Yarrowia lipolytica: one gene and its partner. The protein of the gene in region 1 interacts with the protein of each later gene in a pairwise test. Links are inferred from orthologs where the notes say so. Each region holds a gene or a part of one and is shown on either strand. Other genes may lie near its edges.

What was found. The genes of interacting proteins can lie anywhere in the genome.
Region 2: the proteins of YALI1_D17151g (region 1) and YALI1_E08271g interact in a two-hybrid assay, tested with the Saccharomyces cerevisiae proteins (2 studies listed by BioGRID, with this or other methods). The link is inferred for Yarrowia lipolytica from reciprocal best matches to the Saccharomyces cerevisiae genes SCD6 and KOG1.

The regions. Positions count from the first base shown.
Region 1 is NC_090773.1:1,713,542-1,717,619, reverse strand, and holds YALI1_D17151g (uncharacterized protein), read left to right. Parts: upstream 1-1,999; coding exon 2,000-2,227; intron 2,228-2,497; coding exon 2,498-3,148; downstream 3,149-4,078.
Region 2 is NC_090774.1:825,398-830,067, forward strand, and holds the start of YALI1_E08271g (uncharacterized protein), read left to right. Parts: upstream 1-1,767; coding exon 1,768-4,670. UniProt on the Saccharomyces cerevisiae protein: Component of TORC1, which regulates multiple cellular processes to control cell growth in response to environmental signals. Nutrient limitation and environmental stress signals cause inactivation of TORC1.

The DNA.
Region 1 (4,078 bases):
ACTATGCGGAAGCTCAGTTACACCACTTCAGTTGGACACACACGCTTTTATAGCGAGCTCAGAAGGATGGGGACTTCGATCAAGTATTTACTAGTTGTTATTGATTACTTTTGTGTACTACTTGGTATGACTGTCTTTCACTCCCCGGTCTTAGCTGCCTGTGTGATACAGAAGGTACCTAGCTTGAACTGGTGTATCTACCAACATGTGGAGAGGGAGCTAGAGTGCAAGCATTTATTACTTCCATTACTTTTGATGTACAGTACTATCAGAGGCATTTCAAACCGTCTGGAGAGCAGTCTACATAGGAACAGCCCAGTGAGAAGCCCTCCCATTCTGGCTTGTGGTTGGTCAGATAAATGTGCCATGAATGTACCAGGAAACTTCAATTGACTGTCGAACGAGTCTAAACACTTTTGGAATGTACGTTTACATGCATTCTGGGCATCCGAGGGTGAAGGACACCGACCGATCGCTCCGCGCGCGTTTTTGGTGGCTCTCTCTCCGCGACATCTTCTCTAAGATAGAGAGGGACAATCTCCTGACACAGCAACGTCCTCAAACGACTCCATTGGCACTATGATGGCATTGTTGGGTTCTTCTTGGTAGTCTTGAATGCTTAACGTGTTTCTCCTTTTGTTAACAGTTCAAGGAACACATCCTCGCGAGTCAGAAGACTCCCCTCCCTCGAGACTTGATATTTTTAAAGTTCAGCTTTGAGATGGCTTCTGAAACACCCGTGAGGATACGTAGACAATGTATCCTCCCTTCAACTCCCCCGATAGTCCAGATATTGAGATTCTGAAAAAAGAAATCGGCTTCTGCTCTGGTTACTAGTATATATATTTCTCTACTCTCATCACAAAGTGTCTACTGGGTGCTGCAACTGTCCCCTCCCCCCCAATCACCACCAAAACTGTATCCCATTTAAGGGTGCAGATTGGGACAATTAATGGGTTCGAAACTGGTCACATCATTGACAAAATTTTGTCAAAACGTTCAAGCTTAAGAGACGACTCAAGATCCCTTCTATGTCGCGATGTAGTCGAGATATTTGGATTTTGAAACCGACCCCGAGATCGCTGTATCGTCCTCTGCCATCTTCTGCTTTCTCAGTAGCTCTAGCTCCATTTTGCGCCCCATTAGTTGCACTCCAACGGCATTGGATTAGTAAGCGATGAATGGCGGTTGGTATTAGTCAGCAGTAAACTCTGTAGGACTGCAGCGTTACAACTAGAGAGTGCATTTTCGTGGGTTTTCTGGATATCTGGAGTCACGTGATGATGCACGGTCACGTGGATTCCGTCTCATGTGCACCGAGACACCTCTCTATGGATTTTCTTCAAAGTGCCAAAGAAGACATGTACATTCAACTTTGGATGTATATAGTAGTAGTGCATAGGAGATAGCGTAGTATGTGACGGTACAGGTCGTAGAATCCACAAAAGAAGCGTGCGAAAGCCGAAAAATGACCGTCTGGAACACCTCCAGACCACAACTTGGACATTGGACGCCTTAAAAACATGTTCTCTGGCCATGCCTCGTCTCCACTCGTAATCTGTAGATCCCTGCATACTCTCACAGCCTGAGCAGTATGGTACAGCGGTAACAGAGGTTCAAATAACATGAGGATTGCTCTTTGACTCAATCAGCTCACAAATTCCAGAAGCCACCCACAGAGTCAAGCTCCCTGCCAGAATCACACACCTGGACCTCCACTATCGCGCATCCTGTCTAACAGGCCTCCACCTAGGGCAACTCAATTACCCTGTCGTCGGACTCGATCTGATCCGGGCCAGCTCGACGAAAAACTCGTCTATATAAACATTGTCGCGCTCCGCTGTCGCCATCCGAGTCCCACAATCGCTGCCCAGAGTCCCCCAAACACCAGATTCCACACTCCACCACTTTGCCCACCGGGTAACAGTCTCAAACTTACACTTGTCAAAACACAGACGACTCAAAACCCATCCGCCAACACAATTTAAGCCCCGCAAACATGTCACAGTTCATTGGCAAGACCATCTCGCTCATCTCCAACAGCGACATCCGGTACCTCGGCGTTCTCCATGAGATCAACTCCGAGGAGTCGACCGTGTCGCTGATGAAGGTGCGCACCTTTGGTACCGAGGGGCGAACTGGAGGGGCCAACGAGATTCCTGCCAGCGACGCGGTCTACGACTATGTGGTTTTTCGCGGCAGCGACGTGAAGGATTTGAAGATTGCTGTGAGTACACCGAGAGCGAGCGGAGATGATCATGTGCTGATATCTACAGTGACAGCGCCATGACGAGTGACACCACACCAATGGTGGACCCTCACATGTCACGTGTGCTGTACCGTCGACACGCCACTCACCCTTTCAACCACAATGATGAAGCATTAGGATGTAAATTATTTCACCCGAGAGCGCAAAAAACCGTGCGGATATTTCCTGCCTTCCTTCTGATTTTGTGTCTGCCGATACGTTCGGTCTTGTTGAACCCTTCTAACCCAGGACGAATCCGAACTCGAGCCCCAGCAGGCCCCCAAGGAGGAGGCCGAGCAGGTGACACAGAACGAGTCGCCTGCAGCTGCACCAGTGCAGGTCCAGCCTCCCGCTCAGCCGCAGCAGCAATCCCAGCCTCAGGCACAGCCTCAGGTACAGGAGCAGGCCCCTCGAAAGGCACGACCTGAGCCTCGCCAGGAGCCCCGAGAGGCGCGAGAGTCCCGGGAGCAGCGACAGCGAGAGCCTCGAGAACCCCGGGAGCCCCGGGAGCCTCGAGAAACTCCGGCGCAACCCTTTGACTTCTCCTCCAACCAGATTGAGGAGTTCAAGAAGGAAATGACCGAGGACGAGCAGACAGAAAAGTTCTACAACAAAAAGTCGTCCTTCTTCGACAACATTTCGCACTCGACCCGAGAGCAGCAGCGAGACCCCGAGCAGAACCGGGTCAACCGAGAGCTCAACTTGGAGACGTTTGGCCAGACTGATTCGGGGTTTCGACACAACAACTTCCGAGGGGGGCGAGGTGGACGAGGCGGTGGTCGAGGAGGACGAGGTCGAGGAGGTAGAGGTGGCCGAGGCGGCCGAGGAGGTGATGGCATGAGCAACCGGGACAGGGAGACTTTTGGTAGTTTTACCGGTCCTGCTCCGCGGTGGAACTAGACCATAGACGTGCGTATCAGCGTAGCGAGTCGGTCGTCTGTTGGTCGATGTGAGTGTGTTACAAGTACTTGCATCACTTAGTAGTGCATGCACTCGTATCTAGTTCCCGTCCCCTGTATATTTATAGTAATTTATTCATCTCAGACCGAGCAGTGAACCCTGCGATGTCTGAGCATAATGAACTCATGATATGAATGGACAAGAATACGATATCGTGTGGTCAGCAAGATATCAGTACATACCCCAATTCGGTATACAAGTTCTGTTATGCTGTGGGTATTGTAGCTCCTAGAATCAAAAATACATACTCAATACCATGGGAGAAAGAGACAGCTGACGGCAAAGGGGAGTTGACAAATCGATTATCGATACGATTACGAATATATTGTATATTTCGGGGTTCTCATAGCATGGCCACACAGGTTTCTAAGGGTGTAGATGTAGCCTAGATGTTTTACAAGGTGGTGCATATCGCCAACCAGGACATAGGAACGAAGACGGACAAAAAATCATGTAGTGAGCTCGACGAGATGGTATCTGTGTTATTTGAGAACTGGGGAATCTGGATCAGCTCTCTACAGAGTCTCAACTGCTCGAGATCATCTTTCGTGCGCACTTGACAGGGAGGTAGGTGGACTTTTCTGAAGAGGTCTGAATGGCATCTGGAGTTGATTTGTGGAACTAATGTCTCTTGAAAACGTGTTAGTAGATCTAAGTGGGTCAATTTGATGTATTTTTTCAAGTCACCAGATTGATACATTGGAAATACGGATGTACTGTTGTAGAATTTCTTGAAGACTTCTCATGCTCTGGACTGATAGCCTCTTCAAGTTTTGACCGTCCAGAAACCAGTGGGTCACGAACAGAAAGCAAAGAATCCGGCAATTACGGACAGCAGAGCTGTTCTTCCTGTTCACAAAGTCCAATAAT
Region 2 (4,670 bases), on another chromosome or scaffold:
GTCTTGTGTCGTTCGTGTCGCTTGTGACTCTACCGCACTTGTGACTCCTCTGCTGTAACAGGTCTAGTTCAAGTAGAATGATCCACCGCGGACTCTTGCCAAATGTTGGTGCTGAAACTTCTAACTCTATCTGTCCCGTGCAGTGGTGATGGCGATGTGCAGTCACGTGGGACGGGGACTGGTTTGGGAGCAAGTCGCGGTGGTGTGGGTCGCACAATGTTATATAAGTGGGGCGCGCATGTCGAAAAACCGCTTCCGTTATAGCTACGACGATAATGTGGCTCTCTATACTGGCAGTGTGGTGCACCCATCTGTCCATGGCGTATCTCCGAACCGTGCGTCTCTCCCAACAGTTCGCTTTAACTATAGTATGTGCATGTACGATATCTGTCAGCGGGAAAAGTTACTCCATGGACCCAAAGGGAAAGTTACTCCAGCTCGTTGGGAGCGAGGATGTAAAGGGCAGTTTAGTGCGGACTGGAGAACAGTTCTGCATGCGGATGACTCGGAATGATTCGGGGTGTCAAGTGCGGCCATGTACTGTACGTACGATATTCACAGGTGTCGGCATAGGCTTGGTTTTGGGTGGTGTTGGATGATTAACCAAGAATCAAGTCTTGTTAGGAGTCGGTTGGACATGGCTTAGAGTAACACAAGGGCACTATACATGGAGGGATAATGGAGGACAAGAGATATATATGAAGATGGCGATGAGATATAACGAGTACTCAGACAGTTCTGGATAGAAGTTGGTTGAATGAAGACCTTGTGACAGTATGTATGAGATCCGAAGATCCAAGGCCATGGTCACCTGAATCATAATTTTTTCGACATCAAGATATCACCAATGTTGACCCAAGGACGTCATTAGTCATTGGACTATTTTCGGCCTGTGGAGATAGTCACCTGTAGGTACAGTACAGTACATACTATACGACGTACGGTATGTACAGTATGAAACCGTGCACGCGCTACAATTTCTCGTCAAGTACGACTATCGTAAGTATGTACTCCTCAAGTTGAACCTCCGAATACACTTCGACCGCGACTGAAGCCGCCATGGTACGATAGGATGTCTGGGTAATGATCAAGAAAGCGAAATGACATCATACTCCAGGGTCAGCTCAGCAAGCCCGATTTGGGCTGTTCTGACTTCCCCTGATTTACATATCTTCAGTAAATATTACTTAAATGTTGTCCGCTATCGACCCACTCGTATCATGCATGTCCCATACGGCACTGGAGATATCGACGGTGTAGAAGCGGCCAATGCACCGGTATTTGTACAATACACAGTACATCTAGTGACATCATGTATCGAGGCAAAGGACAGTCCCACGACGAAGGTGGTCATGTGAGTCTAACCATCCACAAATCGGTTTTTTTTGTTCATTTTATTCACGCCTCAGTTTGTCGACATCTCACTCACTCCACCAATAGTAGAACATTACCCCATATCGCAATCTAAAGTGTTCACTCCTAATGGTATGCAGCGCACTCATATAGTGTCTCGTGACAGCGATAGATGGGAGTACCCAAGTAGGCGTACACATACATTTTTAGACGGGAAAGGCGGTTAAAAATATACACCATGTCCCACTACCACAAAAAACGATCTTTACTGTTGTCTAAATCACCTACAACAGTCTCAACTCACCAGTCCTCAAGTCTCCTCTAAACCACCTCTCAAACTCAAAGTCACACCTCCACCACTACATCACCGCACATCACACCAGTCACCCCATACTTGCACCTCACATCTCTGACATGAACGGAAGTGTGACATCGGTGCAATCGGTGCATTCGCCACAACGCCGGATGGAAGAGGATGAGACGGTCAAGTCCACCGCTTCCAAAACCTATGTGCGCCATGGATTTGACGACGACTACGCCAGTGACGCCTACATGTCCATGTTGGCCGAAATCTTTTACATCTACCTGGACGACAAACGCCACGACACTGCGGGCAATCCGAAACGGTCTTCTGCCGACGGCCCGCCCGAATGGCGCATGAAAGACCGACAGAGAACAGTGTCTGCAGCCATTGTGGTGTGTCTCAACCTGGGAGTGGATCCTCCAGATGTGATCAAAACCGACCCCTGCTCGCGACTGGAGGCCTGGGTGGACCCACAGACCATCTCAGACTCCAAGAAGGCCACGGAGCAGATTGGAAAACAGCTACAGATGCAGTACGAGGTGCTGTCAATGCGAACCCGGTATAAGCAGTCGCTGGACCCCAATGTGGAGGACATTAAACGATTCTGCATAGGACTGCGACGAGGTGCTAAGGAGGAGCGAATTCTGTTTCATTACAATGGCCACGGAGTGCCTCGACCTACAGCTTCGGGCGAAATCTGGGTCTTCAACAGAGGCTACACACAATACATTCCTGTGTCTTTGTACGACCTGCAGTCGTGGCTGGGCTCGCCATGCATCTACGTGTGGGATTGCCATAGTGCCGGCAACATTGTCTCTAACTTCAAGCGCTTTGTTCAGCAGCGTATCAAGGAGGACGCTGATGCACAAGCACCCAATGGTGTGACCAGTGCAGCTTCAGGAAACGGAAATGCCTACCTCGATTGCATCCAGCTTGCAGCCTGCCGGGCCGACGAGACTCTGCCCATGCACCCAGACCTTCCGGCAGATCTGTTCACGTCATGCCTGACGTCCCCAATTGAAATTGCTGTGCGATGGTTCGTCATGAAGTCTCCCTTGGCTTACGGGAAGAAGATCAAGGATCTGCAAATCCCAGGAAGAATTACCGACCGAAGAACCCCCCTTGGCGAACTTAATTGGATTTTCACTGCCATAACCGATACGATAGCCTGGACTTTGTTGCCTCGCGACCTGTTCAAAAAGCTGTTTCGACAGGACCTGATGGTCGCAGCGTTGTTCCGAAACTTTCTGCTGGCAGACAGAATTATGCGGGTCAACTCATGCCACCCAGTCTCGGACCCTCCTCTTCCTCCCACCCATTCTCACCCTATGTGGGATGCGTGGGATCTAGCAGTCGATCAGTGTCTGACTCAGTTGCCTGCTTTGGCTGCTGGACAGGAGTATCGCCACTCGCAGTTCTTTGAGGAACAACTGACAGCCTTTGAGGTGTGGCTGCGATACAATGCTCGAAGTGATAACCCACCTGTTCAGCTTCCTGTTGTTTTACAAGTGCTGTTGTCACAGGTCCACCGACTACGAGCGCTGATCTTGCTCTCCAAGTTCCTCGATCTTGGACCCTGGGCTGTCTACTCGGCGCTCTCTATCGGTATCTTCCCCTACGTGTTAAAGCTGTTGCAGTCCCCCGCTAAGGAGCTAAAACCCGTGCTTGTTTTCATCTGGGCTCGAATAATGAGCGTGGACCATCAATCCATTCAGCACGAGCTGCTCAAGGACAATGGCTACGCCTACTTCATCCAAATTCTTCTCCCCTTTGAAGGATTTGCCGTTAACAACGTGAACGTCCATGACCACAGAGCCATGTGTTCTTTCATCATCGCACTATTCTGCCATGGTTTCAAGCAGGGTCAGCGGGTCTCAATGGGTGCTGATCTTCTCCGGGTGCTCGTGGTTTACGCAGCTGAGCCTGACTCTCCACTGCTTCGACAGTGGTCCTGTTTATGCATCTCCCAACTGTGGTTCGACTACCTAGAGGGCAAGTGGCTTGGAATGAAGGAGAGAGTGCCCCAGAGCCTCATTGTGCTGCTTGAGGATCCTGTTCCTGAGGTCCGAACAGCGTGTACTGTTGCCTTGACTGCATTCCTTGGCAATGGAGACGCTGATCACATTTCCCAGGATTTCAAGGACGTGGAATGCGAGCTTGCTAACGCTGTCCTCAAGCTGACTGACGACGCCAGTGGTATTGTTCGAAGAGAAGCAGTCGTATTCTTTTCGCGTTTCGTCGTCCAGTACCAAGGTCAGATTCTGGTTGCTGCGTTTGCTACTCTCGAGCAAGAAGCTGCTGCTGTCTCCCAGATGAACCTCAACACCTCGTCCAATCCTGCCACCGGTACCGTGTTTGCTGCCGTGTGGGAGGCCGTTCTGACATTTGCAGAGGACCCGTTCACCGAGGTGCGTGACTTTGCACGTGACGTGGTTGATCACGTCTTGTTTGAGATGGGCCAGTCGCCTCTGGGACCTCGAATGGAGCAGCTCAAGCGAACCATGCTGCAGGGAGCCGAGTCCAAGAAACAGCTGCCTAGCGTTTCCAACCTGATTCCTTCGTCAGAGTCACATCATCATGCTGCTGGTAGTCCTGCTCCCCAATCTCCTGCGATGGCTCCTCTAACGCCTACTGCATCTTCCACCATTCAAAATGCCATTGCTGCCGACAGGGCAGCTTCTTCTCCTCTCAACTCGCTCAAGAGGTCTGTCTCGAAGTATCTATTTGGAGACAATGAGCCCAGTGGAACAGCAGCCCAGAAAACGGACTCATCTGTTACAACTGTTCCTTTTGGCACGGGAACCATCCCCGTGACACCTCGTTACACATCGCGAGCTGCAGGATCACGTGCTCAACTCCCTCTGAAGTCCGGGTTTTTTGCTTGGTCCACGGAGTTCTTCCAAGAGCCTCAAATGGTGCCTGCGGAGGCCGACTGTACTGGTTCACAGCGGTACACTGAGAGACTGTGGCGAAAGACCCGCAACGAGAGAATTATCTCCGAGTCGGTGCTTCA